Lepisosteus oculatus: one gene and its partner. The protein of the gene in region 1 interacts with the protein of each later gene in a pairwise test. Links are inferred from orthologs where the notes say so. Each region holds a gene or a part of one and is shown in the gene's direction. Other genes may lie near its edges.

Evidence for each region. The genes of interacting proteins can lie anywhere in the genome.
Region 2: the proteins of copb1 (region 1) and copb2 interact in a two-hybrid assay, tested with the Homo sapiens proteins (2 studies listed by BioGRID, with this or other methods). The link is inferred for Lepisosteus oculatus from reciprocal best matches to the Homo sapiens genes COPB1 and COPB2.

Annotation. Positions count from the first base shown.
Region 1 is NC_090716.1:10,266,742-10,274,810, reverse strand, and holds the start of copb1 (coatomer subunit beta), read left to right. Parts: upstream 1-4,640; 5' UTR 4,641-4,738; intron 4,739-6,095; 5' UTR 6,096-6,157; coding exon 6,158-6,248; intron 6,249-6,506; coding exon 6,507-6,736; intron 6,737-7,973; coding exon 7,974-8,069. Other genes in the region: psma1 (proteasome subunit alpha type-1), read left to right, coding at 1-1, 420-524, 997-1,056. UniProt on the Homo sapiens protein: The coatomer is a cytosolic protein complex that binds to dilysine motifs and reversibly associates with Golgi non-clathrin-coated vesicles, which further mediate biosynthetic protein transport from the ER, via the Golgi up to the trans Golgi network.
Region 2 is NC_090708.1:7,920,924-7,929,315, forward strand, and holds the start of copb2 (coatomer subunit beta'), read left to right. Parts: upstream 1-4,988; 5' UTR 4,989-5,095; coding exon 5,096-5,098; intron 5,099-6,019; coding exon 6,020-6,157; intron 6,158-6,407; coding exon 6,408-6,494; intron 6,495-6,863; coding exon 6,864-6,990; intron 6,991-7,616; coding exon 7,617-7,765; intron 7,766-7,912; coding exon 7,913-8,059; intron 8,060-8,392. Other genes in the region: retinol-binding protein 2-like, read left to right, coding at 113-291, 899-1,000, 1,483-1,536. UniProt on the Homo sapiens protein: The coatomer is a cytosolic protein complex that binds to dilysine motifs and reversibly associates with Golgi non-clathrin-coated vesicles, which further mediate biosynthetic protein transport from the ER, via the Golgi up to the trans Golgi network.

The DNA of each region.
Region 1 (8,069 bases):
GGTAAGTAATTCGTGCAGCGTCTGATGCAAAGAAAACCCGGTGATTTGTCTTATAACAATTTCATCATTGACAAGCAAGCAGTAAATATGAAAGATGTTTAGATGTAATGTGGTATGTAATGATTTTACACTGACAGAGATTTATATTCTGTATGACTGTGCACTGCTTAGCTCCATTTGTTTCACATTTTCATGCTTAATTGATTTGATACACGAATCCAAAAACAGGCTATGAAAGTGATTATTAATGTTGTTTTGAATTGTAAAAATTTAAAAATGTATTTAAGCTTAAATATGGGGGACATTGAATGTATTTAGTGTTTGATTTAATATTCAGTAATGATTAACTTTACTATTTATTATGACATATTTAATATTCAGAAAAATACTTTAAAGGGTAACATTCTTGGCCTTCACAGAATGTCTCCATTGGAATTGTTGGCAAAGACCTGGAGTTTACTATCTATGATGATGACGAAGTTGCACCGTTCCTCGAAGGCCTTGAAGAGAGACCCCAGAGAAAGGTAGATATATTTAACCGTACAGTTCTTTCACAACTTCCTCTTGCTGAAAATGTCTCCTGTGCTTTCCATAAGCACAATGTTCTGCTCCATATGTATTCAGTATACAATTGGCTAAGGTTTTTTTTGCCAAGTTATATAATATATTTTTATAAAATGAGTAGCTTTCTTTTTATTTATATAAATTAAAAGAGAATTAAGGGACAATTAGGGTGATTGTTTCCCTCAAGGTGAATAAGAAGAATTATTACACTTTCCAAAATGTATAGGATTTATACAACAATGCAGCAAATTATACTGTAAGGCCTTCGCTTGCTTTACATATCCTTCTGTTGAATTTTTCACAGTAATTTTTCATGCTCAGTATATTTAACTGTATACTTAAGGCAAGATTTTTGTTTTAGAAAAAATAATGATGTTTCTTTATTAAAGTTGGGATTTCTTTACTGAAGCCTGCTCCTGTTTTGATTTCTAGGTTGCACAGCCGCCTGAAGAGCCAGCAGGAGGAAAAGCTGATGAGCCCATGGAGCACTGATGTTGGTCCTGGCTGCCAAAGATTTACACTGCTGATTAAAAAGTTCACAATCTGTAACATACCTGCTGTCAGTCTATGACCATGCATTCACAAAGTAAATGTCAACATGGAGCCCATTTTGGCCTAAGAAGATCTTAGAAAGCCACCTACCACAATATTAGCTTTTTTGTTTTCTACAAAGACTAGTTATATTATGCTTTTCTATATGAACCAACCTCAGATTGAAGTTTCAGAATAAAATCTTGTTTTCCCTATGTGTTTCAGGTCGTAGCTTTTTTAAAAAACAAAACAACAGAAATGTTAAGTAACAACTGCTTCCAATAAAAAATAAAAAAGAATTTGTAGTACCTTGTTAACCATGTACTTTATAAGGTTGCAGTCTAAAGCACTCTTCAGAAAACACACTTGCTAAATGTAAGGATCCTGTGAGATAGAAAAGGTTTGCGCTCCATTAAAAAATAGAGGGTCTTGAAGGTGAACCCGAAGTTCCAGGACTGCATGTTTGTTTTCATAGTTAAGTTTGTTTTTCATAGTGAGTTAAATCAGCTGGTACAGTGTAAGATGGGTGCTGAATTTCCTTTATGTATAAGTAAAGGGTAATCATTTGGTACCAATTAATCATGAACCAGGCCCGAGTTTCAGTTATATGTTGTTTTCAGAGGTGGTGTCCAAGGTACGCTTATTTGCCAATTTTATTGTGTCATTTTTTCTGTCTGCTTAAGTCAAAATATCAGGTAGCAATATGCTCTCTTGGCATCTTCTAACGTTCTCTGAAAAAAATGGGCTTGCTAGACATACATAACATGATGTTAATTGATTATTGTACGCACACCTCTTGAAATACTACTAATAATCCCACTTTCAGTTCAATATGGATAAAGGTGATGGTGCTGTTTAAGTCACCCCATTGAATTGTTAGTTTTGTTTAGATAGAGGATTTCTTGTGGATAGAAAGGTTATCTGCAGGTATTTTAACACCCTTTTAAGTTCTATGTTTAATTGTTATAAAGTTTGTTGTATTAGGAAAGAAATGAGCATATTTTAGTTTTCATGGTGATAAAACGGTACCCATTGGAAGTAAAAAAAAAAACCCTGAAATATTGAAAATGTGACCGGATTATGAAATACCAGGTGTATTTTCTGCTATAATTTTTCCAGACGGGGTCATCAAATGCTGTGCAACAATGTCCTGTGTCAGGCGAAGCAGACCTTTGATATTGATTTGAGTCAAGGTTCCTGCAGTATGAAGGACACCGCTGAAGGAAGAGGTGTAATAGTATATCCCAGGGGTGACCTCAAACCTGCAGATAGTTTATTTTCTAGTTTCACAAAAAGGGCTGGCACCGCAAGAAGAGGTCATGTTACAGAAGAAGCAGTAAGGTGTTCTCCCCGTTAGTCATTATCCCCAGGTCACAACAACTTCTGGTGAGGTCAGCATTTTTTTAGGTATATAGAATATTGTAGAAATGTTCTCTCATCATTCCAATGAGATGAGTTCTGTTGTTACTCCTGTCATTGTCTCTGTCCCTCACTCCTTACTGATCATGCACGCTATTCTTTTTCATTCACATTTGAGCATGATGCGTGGAAAGTTAAGGAAACTGACGCAGATGAATTTCAGATCATTAAAAGATATATCTTCATTGGCATGTTTATTGTGAAATCATAGTCCCTGTTGGGCTTCAGTAAATATTTACTTACAACAAAAATAATATTCCTTGGCTCACATAACAATCAGCTAAATGTAAGCCAGCAATAGTGCCTGGGATCTTGTTCTGTTAAGGGATAACAAGGATAGCAGAATGTCCATGGCTTCTGTGCTGATTGATTTAAGAATACATATGAACAAGCATTAGCAACACAGGGTACAACACAAAGCATATGATATGATATACTGTAGAACTAGTTCATTTATAGAAATGAAGAGAACAGAGGAAGGGTGAATGTTCTGGTGATGTACTTAATGGAGTACCACAGAGATCTGTATTAGGACCACTACTCTTCCTAATTTATATCAATGGTATAGTTAGTAAACAGAATGTTAGTATATACTGTATATACTGAACATTCAAATAAACAGTAGTTATAACGGCTAGTTTAATGGAGTCTTACCCTCGATACTGTATATGGGGCATAATTGTTATTTACTTGAATTTCACCAGGCTTTAATCAGTGGAAACACATTCTATTTTTAAAAAAATACATGCTCAAATGGAGTGATATGTTTTGATGCTCAGTATAAATAAATGTAAAATTGTGATCAATAGGCTCCTTCAACTAGAAGACTGTTATGAGAATACTGTACACAACCTTTATCACTATGTTAAAATGAAAACATTATGTTAGAATAGCATCAGTCCAGAGAAGAAAGAAACTGAATCTTCATAGTCTTGTATTGAAGAGTATAATGGGAATTGATTCAAATATTAAAACATATCAAATCATAAAATCAAACCAATAGACTTTTTCAGAATCAGTAAACAAATATGAACATGAAACACAAACATGAGATTGAGAATGTGTTATGTTGGGGTTTTTTTTCACATTAGGGTTGTTGGGATTTGGACTAGGTGTTGTTGGAGCTGAACTAAACTTTCAACAAATGGCTGGATGAAATCCTCTTAGCTCAGGTTGCTAAGTTAAGCAACCACAATCTAGACAAACCAAATAGCATCCTCTTCCTCTTTTGTAACGTTTCTTTTGCTCTTCTCAGAAAAGCCAGATAAAAATAATGATACCAATACTAATGCTGTTGACGTAGGAAAAAAAAGTCTGTTTTATGCTAATAAAGTACAGACAATCTATGATCTGGTCACACCCTCAGGGGACATTACTGACAAAGGGAGAGAGATGGTTGTGGGGTATCAGGAAAAGGTAGACATGACCACAATGATAAATGCCTGCACTTATGTAGAATGACCTGGGTTATGTGGAGGTTCTTGGTTAACCTATGTCACTGGCCAGAGGCTTGGTGGACAATTGTGGACATTGAATCCTCCCATTTAAACCCATTTGACAGACAGTTCTGATCATGACATAAATCCCTAAAACAGAATGAAATGCACTTTTGAGTTCTAATAGGGGGAGGTGTTTGTGATAATGAAGCAACGAGTGGATATTTACAAAAATATTTAAAATTAGAAAAAATTATCATTATTGAAACAAAGTTTTATTTTTATTAAGGAACATATATAGTGTTGCACTGGTGTTTATTTTTTCTGTTTTTGAACATATTTTAATAGGCGATTTGCAAAGAACATTTAAACTTCATCGTAAAAATTATAATCTGAATTAACATCGATCAAATCGTTTTTTCAATGTATTTTAATGATTCGGTCATATCTATAAACAAGAAATGTTTAAATAGATTAGTAGGATTTAACTACTAATCTATTTAAGCATTTCTTATTTATAGATATGATCGAATCAATAAAATAAAATTGAAAAACTGATTTACCTATACTCTGTTTCTATCTATACACTAAATGTTGGTGACGTTAAAAGTTCACATTTGTACGCATGCAGGCAGAAACGAGTTTCTGTTCCCTCTCGCCTTAGTTTAAGCAAGTTTGTCCCTCTTAGCTTCCTGTAGTATTGATGTGGCTCAGACCTCCTAGTTCCACGTCACTTGGATGTTGTAGCGTAGTGCAGCTGGGGAGAGGTTAACACAGTGAATAAAAAGGTAAAGAAACTTTCATTTTAATTGTGTAGATTTATGCGGTTTTGTATCATTTTACGGAAGTTTCTTCTATAAGAAATATTTACAATTGCATTGTAATTTTCAAAAGGTTCTTCCTTTTTGTAAATTGAAGCTCCACATCTCGCAGGTTATTTTAGCTGAAGTTCCAGCAAGGCACCACTACAGAGAGCATTAACAAGGAAGACATTTGTCAAGCCGGAGTTGGATGACCCATGATAAATCGGTTATGGCTGTTGATTTGAACGTTATGCACAAACTTGCTACTGTGGTGGTTTTGCCTCCACAATACCGATTTCTGATGTAGCTTGTGGGATTTTGTGTAGTTGAGCCGGTCACTTCCTGAGGCCTATCTTTTAGGCCAAACCTCTTGATTGTGCAGAAGAACGAGCTCGGTGCAGTTTACTATAAAATTATGTGATCACACCTGCACAGAATAGTCAACTGATATGGTCAATAAATTAGTGGCTTTCCACATGCTTTTATTGTATTGTAGTTTACACCAAGGGAACAATCGTTAAAATATCGTTGTGTAACGTCAGACTTGGGTAGACAAGTTATGGCCCTAATACAAAATGTTTACGTTTATTGTAATATCTTAAAAGGATATAGTTTCATTTTTGCCTTATTACTTAGTATTTGTTCTTAAATGTTGTTTTCACCTGCCCTTTATATGGTGGTGTTAATTGTATTTATTCTCATTACGGAGAAGAACCTAAAAGATGATAAAATAGTGCTTCATGATAAGTTACTGTTGGTTCCCAGCAAGTTTCTTATTAATATATGAACGTTATGCTGTAAGTTTTACTTGAATTATGTTTTTGTCATCAGGTTGCAAAACGTAAAATAAAATAATAGAAGTGGTGTTTACAGGTGTTCTAATTTACGGAGGCCACTTATACATGTGTATTTAAATGCGAACGTCCTGTGAGCAGTAAGTGTAATTATGTCTCTATGAACAGCACGGATTTGACGTGCCAGCGTGGAGCAGGATATTCTTGGTGCTGTACAGGGAAGAGGTCAGGGTGTCTGCAGGTGTTCTAGGTCTCTTTAAAGCAGCAGCACCTGAAGATCTAAGATAACGTAATAAATTGGTCCAATTAGCCCAGTGATGATCTGACAGGACATTAAGAGCTACATTGAAATTAAATCCTCTAGGACCAGGATTGGACAGCCCAATTCTAAATGATTTGGTCATTTGTGACAGCTGCTTTGTTGATTTTAATGCCATTTCACGTCGATAAATAATGTATAATATGGCAAAGTTACTCGCGTTTTGCACAGCAGTCACTTGCGATCAATTTTATCTTAAAAAAATGCATGTTCTTGTTCTTTGTTACAGGGTCTGATCAACATCAAGTTTCTCCTGGTGTTTTTCGTTCAGAAAATTAGACAGCCGGCATCATGACCGCCGCGGAGAATGTGTGTTACACTCTCATAAATGTTCCGATGGACTCGGAACCGCCATCAGAACTAAGTTTGAAAACAGACCTCGGTGAGTGTTAAATGCAAACAACTGCAAGGGAAGCTAGAAGGAAGAACTTGCTGTAGATTTACACCAGGTTTGTTGAATGGTTAACACATGGTTAAAAAAATAAAAGTGTTTCTTTCTTTGATGTTTTGCCACTCACGATTAAAGCATTTTTGGGGGGTAGTTTTCCTGTTTTCTAAAGGGGATAGGATTGAGTGATCTTTGTGTGAATGTGATTATGCACGTGTTCATTTTCAGTCTTGTGGTGCTGTTCACTTTTAGAAAAGGGGGATATCAAGGCCAAAACGGAGGCCTTGAAGAAGGTGATCATCATGATTCTCAATGGGGAGAAGCTGCCTGGCCTGCTGATGACCATCATTCGCTTTGTACTGCCTCTTCAAGATCACACCATTAAAAAGCTGCTCCTTGTCTTCTGGGAGATTGTTCCCAAGACCACTCCAGATGGGAAGCTGTTGCAAGAGATGATCTTGGTCTGTGATGCCTACAGAAAGGTACTTGTCCGGCTCACTAGTGTGTCATGTTCTGAATTTGTGCCTTTTGACAGTGTTGTCTGAAAGTGTTTGCTTTGGAAGACCGGTCACGTATGTTGTGAAAAGATTTTTTCATGTCTCCTGTCCTGATCTTCCCTACAAAGATGGGCAGAGGAGAATACATTTCCATTGCACCAAGTCTTAAAAACTCAGAACATTTTGATATTTTTCTTTTAGTCTGGTTAAGGGCACTTGTTTCCTGCCCTCATGTGCCATTTTTCTGTTCTGTGTTCTGTACTGTGTTGGTTAGTTTTTGCCAGGTCATGTGCTTGCTTTGACTCTAAGAATAAGACGTCAAATATACATTAGATGTACTTCACTTGGTTTTGTGGGTTTACTGCAAGATTTTAACATCTGCAGTTTTCATATGTTTCATATTTATAATCATATTGCTGGCCGTGTTAAGGTCTCGCTTCTATAAACAACAAGAGTGCTTCTTCACGTTGCACAGCTGTGGCTTTTTCTCTCCACTTTTCAAGTGTTGGTGAGTGAGCACTTACCACTTATCTTTCTCGTAAAAAAAGTCAGAAATACTTGAACAGCCAAGAGAGCCAAGAGCGTTTCCCCAATATTAATACTCTTAGGTATTTTCCAAAAGCCATGAAAGTTGTAGGAATTGGAAAATGGGGAACAGTGTTTGTTTTGATCGAGACCCACTTCTATAATCATCAATAGGAATTTTCAGTGCACCTCTTATATTTGAATTGGATTTTTCTTTTCACTTCTAAGCAAAAGACATTATGATGAAGAGTGGGTAAAATAATAGAATAAGGATTTAAAAGCTGTCATGGCTGTTGAGCTCAAAGCTTGTTTGAACGCTTCTTCTTTTACAGCTTTGCACTTAAGAAATTATCACCAGGACCATGCAGGAGGAATGAAATCTGATCCAGCCACCCGTTTCTCGTGACTCCATATTTGCCACAGAAAACTATTCTCACAGTGTGCTTCTTGCCACTTTGATGGGGGAAAAACACCTGATCATGAAGCAAAATAGGAGGCAATTGTTGACCTAAACTGTACTGTTTAATAATCGCCAGAAATCTGTTGTTGCTTAAGCCTGAATGCAGGTTTAACTCAGTCACCCACTTCAGCATTGCGACCTGGCCTAAATTGCCTTCGGCTTTGGAGTCACTGATCTGCCCTTGTGTCTGCTGGGGTGAGGATAGTTTGTGGTTATTCATTTCTGTTGCATTAACAGGACCTACAGCATCCTAATGAATTCATTCGGGGTTCCACCTTGCGGTTCCTGTGCAAGCTGAAAGAGTCTGAGCTGCTGGAGCCCTTGATGCCAGCG
Region 2 (8,392 bases), on another chromosome or scaffold:
CAAACAGCAATAAGTGAAATTAAATTAAAATGTTCTGATACAAATGCCAATCCAATGCATCAATTTCTGGAATAAATTGTTTATTTGTTGTTGTTTTTTTAAATAAAAACAGATATAGATTTTGCTACCCGCAAAATTGCCTTGCACCTGAAACAGACAAAAGTGTTTGTTCAGAATGGGGACAAATTTGAGACGAAAACCCTGAGCACATTTCGGAATTATGATGTGAACTACACCATAGGAGAGGAGTTTGAGGAACACACTAAGGGCCTGGATAACAGAGTGGTCAAGGTACAAACCTCTTCACCGTTAAGAAACCGCCTGAAGCTTCTAAGTTATTTTTAGTTATGATGCTATTTATTTTTTGGTAATGTTAACACGTTAAGGGTTCCTGAGGGTTATTCACCAAAAAGAAATACAAAATTATGTTTAATATTCATAATATGGGTGGCTTTATTTGTGCAAGCATGATTAAATCTGGGATATTTTTTTTTTACAGGTATTCTCATTTCCTCAGCAAGAGGACCTTTTCTGAAAGGAAGTAATATTTGACCAATAGAAAAAATATATGAGAATGAGTAGAGGTTATTTCGGAACATTTTAGCTAAAGAGCTTGTTATTGAGCTTCTTCTCTTGAACCTTTGTCTTTTTAAATCTTTCTTAATCTTTTATATCAAGGAATAATGAAGTCTTCAGATCACAAATTGCACTATCCACTCAAAGAATACATAGCTAACCAAGAAAACTATAAAACAAACGTGGAAGCAAAATACTTTTTTATGTAAGGAGAATGAATTTTCTGAGACATAATGCCTAATCCTGTTCGTACACAGACTGGTCACACTGTCCAAATGCCTACAAAATGCTGTCATTTTCTTGTTGTCTTTTTACATCCCAGACTGTGGTGACATGGGATGGTGATAAACTGGTTTGTGTCCAGAAGGGAGAAAAAGCCAACAGAGGCTGGAAACACTGGATTGAAGGAGACAAACTGCACTTGGTGAGTCCTCCTCTTTTCACTTAACCGTCATATAAACACTTTCTTCACTTAGGCCTACAATATTACAGTAAATCAATAGTGACTCTGTACTGCTAAAAGGATGACTCTTAGGACAACAGGAATAGGTAACATGTTCCGATTTATTTACAGCAGCTGTTTCAAAGACAACTCATCTGGCTTTCACCAGGAGATACAGTAGCTACAAAATGCACATTTTTAGAAGCTTATATACAAGTAAAGTTATGTTTCTTGGGGTAGATAAGGAGATGAGGCACTGTATAGTCGAATTTAACACTCTGCTTTATCTTCTGGAAACTGTTCACCTCACATGCCAGGCACAACTTAGTTTTTGACCATGAAAGGACTTTTTTTTTTTACATTTTGCCATTGATGTTCTAGTTAATGATTTGCAGTACATCATTCAGAATATTTTCTTACTTTGTATATAAATGAATTCCTATCTTTCTTGTATATCTCTCCAGGAACTGACATGTGAAGACAAAGTCTGCCATCAGGTGTTTAAGAAGAAACAATAACAATAAAGCTGGAATTCCTGTTCATTATTATCATTTTAAGCATATTAAAACCGGTTTTTGACAGTATTGCAAAAATGGTTCTAAAGTCATTGTTTTGTTTTTTTAATTGAGGGGAGAACATAATAAGTGAGAAAAACAACAATTCAGGGATGCGGTCAAAGGAAGGTCTGATTCTGGAATTGTATGCTCACTTCTAATTTCAGTGATTTTCTCCGATATTATATGAATGCCTTATTGAACGTTTGTAACTTTCTGAGAGCTCCTCAGAATACTGGAATACATTGATAAATGAGAGGAGAAATCCAAACAGGCTCTCTAGCTACAAAGCAAAGCTTAACAGCTTTAAGCTGAATATGTGGAATATTGGACTGCTTCCATATTATTTCTGGCCATGCACTTATGACAATATATATTCCTTAATTCTGGATTAAGCAGCAGAGTCCTACATTGCATTTGTCAGCATGCTTTGGGAATCTAGTAAAGCAATGAAAGAAAGCCACACAATACACAAATACTGTAACAAAATAGCCTGTATGGGGAGTAGGAAAGAAAAAAAGCCAACCCCTGGAATAAATTGCACCATTAAGAAAATAAAAGAAACTGATTACTCTGATTTTCAAGTGCTGCACTCTGAAAACTTGCATGATGTGCAGTCTCCACATTTTCCATTATTGGCATTTTTTTAAACAACAGTGTACACACAATTATTTTCAGTAGACTTGAATTTAAAAAACGCAAAACCTGGAGACCAGTCTTCTCGGAAAACTCTTCGTATTGACCCTTCTCAGAATTTTCTTCAGCACAAATCTTTTTCTCCTCTTTTGTTTTCAAGCTGAGTCACATGTAGGCTTGGAATGGGTTTCTTGGTGGATAGTGTTAAAGGTGGATAGTTGGTGGCTAGTGCCAGAAGCCATATCACTCTGCAACTCAAAACCGGTAGCCCACTGAAGCTTAGCAGGTGTGAGCCTGGTCAGTACCTGGATGGGAGACCTCCTGGGAAAATTAAGGCTGCTGCTGGAAGAGGTGTTAGTGGGGCCAGCAGGGGGCACTCACCCTGCGGTCCATGTGGGTCCTGATGCTCCAGTATAGTGACGGGGACACCATACTGTAAACAGGTGCCGTGTAAAACCAAGGTCCTGACTCTCTGTAGTCATTAAAAATCCCAGGGCGTTTCTTGAAAAGAGTAGGGGTGTAACCCTGGCATCTTGGCTAAATTTCCCATTGGCCCTTACCAATCATGGCCTCCCACTAATCCCTCTATGTATTGGCTTCATTACTCTGCTCTCCTCTCCACTGATAGCTGATCTGTGGTGAGCGATCTGGTGCACAATGGCTGCTGTTGCATCATCCAGGTGGGGATGCACATTGGTGGTGGTGGAGGGGAGTCCCCATTACCTATAAAGCACTTTGAGTGGAGTGTCCAGAAAAGCATTATATAAGTGTAAGCAATTATTAACTAATATAATTATTATTATTAAAGGAGTATTGGAAGTGGAGAATTGGGGACTTTAATACACATCCATGTTCTATGAGAAATCTGCCTGTGCAGGTGAGGGTCTCAGCAACACAGAGACTAACCTTGGAGGTCCAATGCAAGACAGAGAGCACAAAGGCTGCTGTCACCCTGCATGGGACATTAGGACATTGAAAGGAAATGGGCAATTTAGAATAGTCCGTCCACCCTAGCCAGCATCTCTGTGGCTAAGGATCTGCACCTGTGACTGGAAGGTTGCTGGTTCAAATCCCGCGGCTGGCAGAGGAATCATACTCCGTTGGCCCCCTGAGCAAGGCCCTTAACCCTAACTGCTCCAGGGGTGCTGTACAATGGCAGACCCTGCGCTCTGACCCCAAGCTTCTCTCCCTGTCTGTGTGTCTGTGTCTCCATGGAGAAAAGCTGGAGTATGCGAAAAGACAAATTCCTAATGCAAGAAATTGTATAGGGCTAATAAAGAAACATTATTACATTATTATACATTACATGTCTTTGGGAGATAGGGAGAAGACTCAAGAGCTATGAGACAGCAGTCTTAACTGTTACACCACCATTTCTGCTCTCAATAGACACTATCCTAAACGTCAAATGTATGGCTTCAAATAAAGCATGTGAACACACGAATGCTCTAGTTTTATTGCTGCACCTCTAATAAATCCAGAGATTGCATAGCAAAGTTCATTTCTGCGTTAATGGAAAACAGACATTTGGACCATGGGAAAAGTGCCACCCCCTACCTACCCACTGACACGGGAAGGAAGCACAGCAGGGCGGCACTTCAATATACTGTGCACAAAGCCAACGCACCAGACGTCTTCAGGATGAACAATTACACGGAGCAGAGGGCACGATGGGAAAGTATGTGAAAGGGCATTTCAAACACAGAACAGGAGGCACTGTTTTTCTTCTTTATCAAAAGGGGTGTGGGAGAGTGGACCAAGACCGTGCTTTCATTGTAGAAACCAGGATGACGTCCTTGAATCAGTAAATACATTATGGACTTCCGAATGAGCTAGGATGGAGCGAATGGACCCTCGTTATTAGATACTTTATTGATCCCGTGAGGGAAATTGCAGTGGTGCAACAGCAGCCTAACACAGACACCGCCACAGTGTAACGAATGATACAATAATAAAAATAAAAATAATAATAATAATAATAATAATAATAATAATAATAATACAATACATACAATACAATCAGGACAGTGAGGGGTGCGCTAAAAGAGTTACTCACAGTCCGGACACACAAAGAACAAACTAGAACAGAGCAGTACGCAGAAAAATCGTATTGCACATATTAATATATAGATGTAAATAAAGATATAAATATAAATATAAATGTATTGCACGGGTCCCTGGCATATATTGCACAAAAAACGGTTGTAAACGGGAAAAGAAAAAGAACAGATGTAGCAGTAGATGTGTAGATGTGTTCAGGCCAGAAACAGGTCACTGTCAATGTTGCCTCTGCCCAGACGCAAGGTGGATGCGTTGTACAGTCTTAATCTTAAGAATTAATCATTCTTGTGTTCTTAAAAAAATAACAACAGTATAATTCATCCGTGTTCCCCACCTCGAAGATGGGTGTGTGAAGCGAAGCAGGCAGCCATCTATTGGGAGGACTTAAAACCCAGTTCCTAGAAGGCAAACATGATTTTCAACTAGAGTCTGGAACTCGCTGGAGGACGGTGTGGTTGAAACTCATTTCTGCCAGCCCTTGTGCATACTATGATCGAACCAAAAGGCATTTTTAACAATGATGCTCACATTTTGATGTACTTACAGCCTTACTATTTAAACAATATAATGCATAGAAAACACTGTGTTGTAGCACGTTGTAGCATGAGACGCTAAATAAAAACGCCCCTCCTAATCGCCATAATACGGTGAAAATGTCCAGGGTTGGACCAGCTGCACAAGATCTCGCGGTGATGCCTCCGGGACCTCTCGCGTGATTCATGGCAGGAAACTCCACGTCAGTAAGTCCAGCGCAGCTCCTGCTGGCCGATACCTAGGAGAGGGGATCCGGTAATCGCTTATATCAGTTTTCCGGCTCCGTGCAATCATGGTAAGTGATAAAAAGCAGACATAGAACACCTTTTTTTTATTTGGAGTTACGTTTTAAATAGGTTCCTCTGCTAGCATTGTAGTCTAGGGCTTGCAGTTAATTCTGAAGCCTTGATGTACGAAATGTATTTGAGATGAAGGCCCAGCGCACAATAACATCAACACAACTGAAATATGGTGACGTTGAGGGTTTTATTAATTATTCTAATTGCTGTACACTTACAAAGTATTTTTTCTTCAGTGAAAAAAACGGGGGTCCGACGTTTGCAGCACTGTATTGACCCAGCAGCACAGGCAGAAACCTTGCACACACAGGCTGCCACGACAGGGGTTAGCGAGCAGGAAGGAATTAGAAATGCAGAACGGGACTGTTTGGTTATTTATTGAATCCGTTTGTGTTTGTGGCGATTAATTGAGTTAGCCCTGCTGGTCGTCATTGCAAAATACGAATGTGACTTGTGATGTCAGCCGTGAGAACACCGTGTTGTCTTGAAAATTAAAGGGAAGATGAGGGTGTGTGGTGTGTCAAACCAAGATCCAACGTTAGAATTTCACCTCTGGCTCAAAAACACTGAAAACCTGGAGAGTTTTGTAGACTAACCCTAATTCTTAGGTTGTATTTAACATTGGACAGCATCTTACCCACTCTATCACTGCTTCTTGTAGAGAGATTCAGCGCTAAGCTGCTGCTTTAATTTTTGACGGCGGCAGACGTTGTAGACTGAAAACCCAACTGTTGACTCTTGTTAAATCGGCCTTTTTTCCTTAAAGCAAAATACAAGTCTCTGACTTTTAAATGTTCATCTTTGAAGGCGTACTGTCAGCACAAGTGGCGTTTATATGTTTTGCACATCACTTTTTAATGTTTGAAGCGCCTTTGAGGTTAAAAAAACTCATGTTTGCACTGACCTTCGTTTTCCAGCCTCTGAGACTAGACATTAAGCGGAAGCTGACCGCTCGCTCGGACCGAGTGAAGAGTGTCGATCTTCACCCCACTGAGCCGTGGATGCTGGCCAGTCTGTATAATGGTAGTGTCTGTGTGTGGAATCATGAGACCCAGGTAGGCTACTGGCTGAAGATGTGGCTGCAGTACTGTGAGTGAACAGATAAGTGGGGTCTGCATTATCTGTACTCTGGCAAATAAATAGCTGTATTTTGGTGTGTAGTGCATTTTAGTAAAGCCGTTAAAACAAGCAAAACTCCAAAAACATAACCTGTTAATAACTGTTGCTTCATGTGCTGTTGCAAGGGAAATAGCAGTATGCTAATTTATTTGTAGTAATCCAAATAACGTTTTTTTTTATCCCCAGACCCTTGTGAAGACATTTGAAGTGTGTGATTTGCCAGTAAGAGCCTCGAAATTTGTTGCTAGGAAGAACTGGGTCATCACAGGAGCAGTATGTGTTTTTCCTTTATTTAATAGTGGGGAAAATATTGAATAATAAGACAGAATTAAAACTGTTAGCTCGATTTATAAGTATTGCATTATTTGGTTTTAAACCAAATTGGAGTAAGTGGAGCAAAATGGGAGTCTCATGGTTTCAGAAGACATTATGATGTTAGTAACATTGAAGCAAAATGATTTTACATTTTTAAACTCTACATAGTATAAATTAATTTGGTACACAACATAATATGTCATGGTTTTGTTTCTTAAACTCAATTTTAGGTTTTAAATTTTACAATACAAAATTCAGCTGGAGATTTAAGATAATCGACATTGAGACAAGTATGTGTAAGTTTCCTTTCTTTTTTGTTCTATAAAGGATGACATGCAAATCCGTGTATTCAACTACAACACTCTGGAAAGGGTTCACATGTTTGAAGCACACTCGGATTACATCCGCTGTATAGCAGTGCATCCCACTCAGCCCTACATTCTCACCAGCAGTGGTAAGATCTGAAGTGATGCATGGATGTTATCTGTCATGTATACTGCAGTTGTCTGTATGAAATACTTTTTAAATGTGTTCTATGGCAACTCACAAGAGAATAGTCTTTGTAATACAACATGCATGATAAGTTCTTGAATTATGTGGTATTGTGGTGTTTCCTTTCCTTTTCGTGTATAGTTGAAAGAATGGTGGGGAAAAAAGGGGTGGTTGAAAGGGAGTTTATAAATATAAGTTTGGAACAGCCAACAGCCAAGTTCAGTCACTCTCAGCTGTCAGGAATGAACAATTCCTAACATCCAAATTATAAAAACTATATGTAATCCCCATCTCCACCTGGGTATGTTTTTTACATCCCCCTCCACTCCTTCTCATCCTCTGCAGCTGCCCCTTGGTCACCTCCTCCAGGGGTGCCAGCCACCTCGTCCAGGCTCAACCAAGCGTGTTAATCAAAGTTTACAAAGACTAAAACACTCAGTAAACCTTTCAGTGCACTTAATTCTTGGCTGTTGGGTGTTGTTATTCCTAGTGAATTATCCTTTAGTGTGTTGTGTGGTGTATTGAAATTCAGAGGAGATGTGAAAGAATAGTGTCCGATCTCATGACGGCACGTTTGTGGTGCTCCAGATGACATGCTCATCAAGCTTTGGGACTGGGAGAAGAAGTGGTCCTGCAGCCAGGTGTTTGAGGGCCACACCCACTATGTCATGCAGATCGTCATCAATCCAAAAGACAACAACCAGTTTGCCAGTGCCTCTTTGGACAGAACTATTAAGGTAACATCTCACAGAGGCTACATATCTTTTTAGTCATGTACATCAAAGTATGTTAAGATTAATGCTGTTCTAGTACAGAATTGACTGATACAATGTCCAAATCCATGATTCTTTAGAAAATGAGCCAGCATTTTATTGTTTTATCAGGTGTGGCAGCTTGGGTCCTCTTCTCCAAACTTTACCCTTGAGGGCCACGAGAAAGGAGTGAACTGCATTGATTATTACAGTGGAGGAGACAAACCGTACCTCATCTCTGGAGCTGATGATCGCTTGGTGAAGATCTGGGACTACCAGGTATACATTCCAGTAAAATGTCCTAAGAATTGGTTTAGAAGATCTAGTGGTTCCATTCAGTACTTATGGAAAGGCAAAGTATAGCTACAATTAGTATTTATGTATTGTTGTATATGGAACAAAAAACAGCAAATACCTGTAATTATACCTATAATTATAACTTTTCCATTATTTTCTTCTTGGCTTTCTGATGTAATTTATTTCAGTTAAAGAATACAGGGTTGACATACAATAGTGTATTATTAAAATTATAACTAAAAGTAGATTATATGTGACAAATCACGAGACCATAGTTTTAGGTTGTTTTTATTTCTGTGCACTGTATACTGAAAA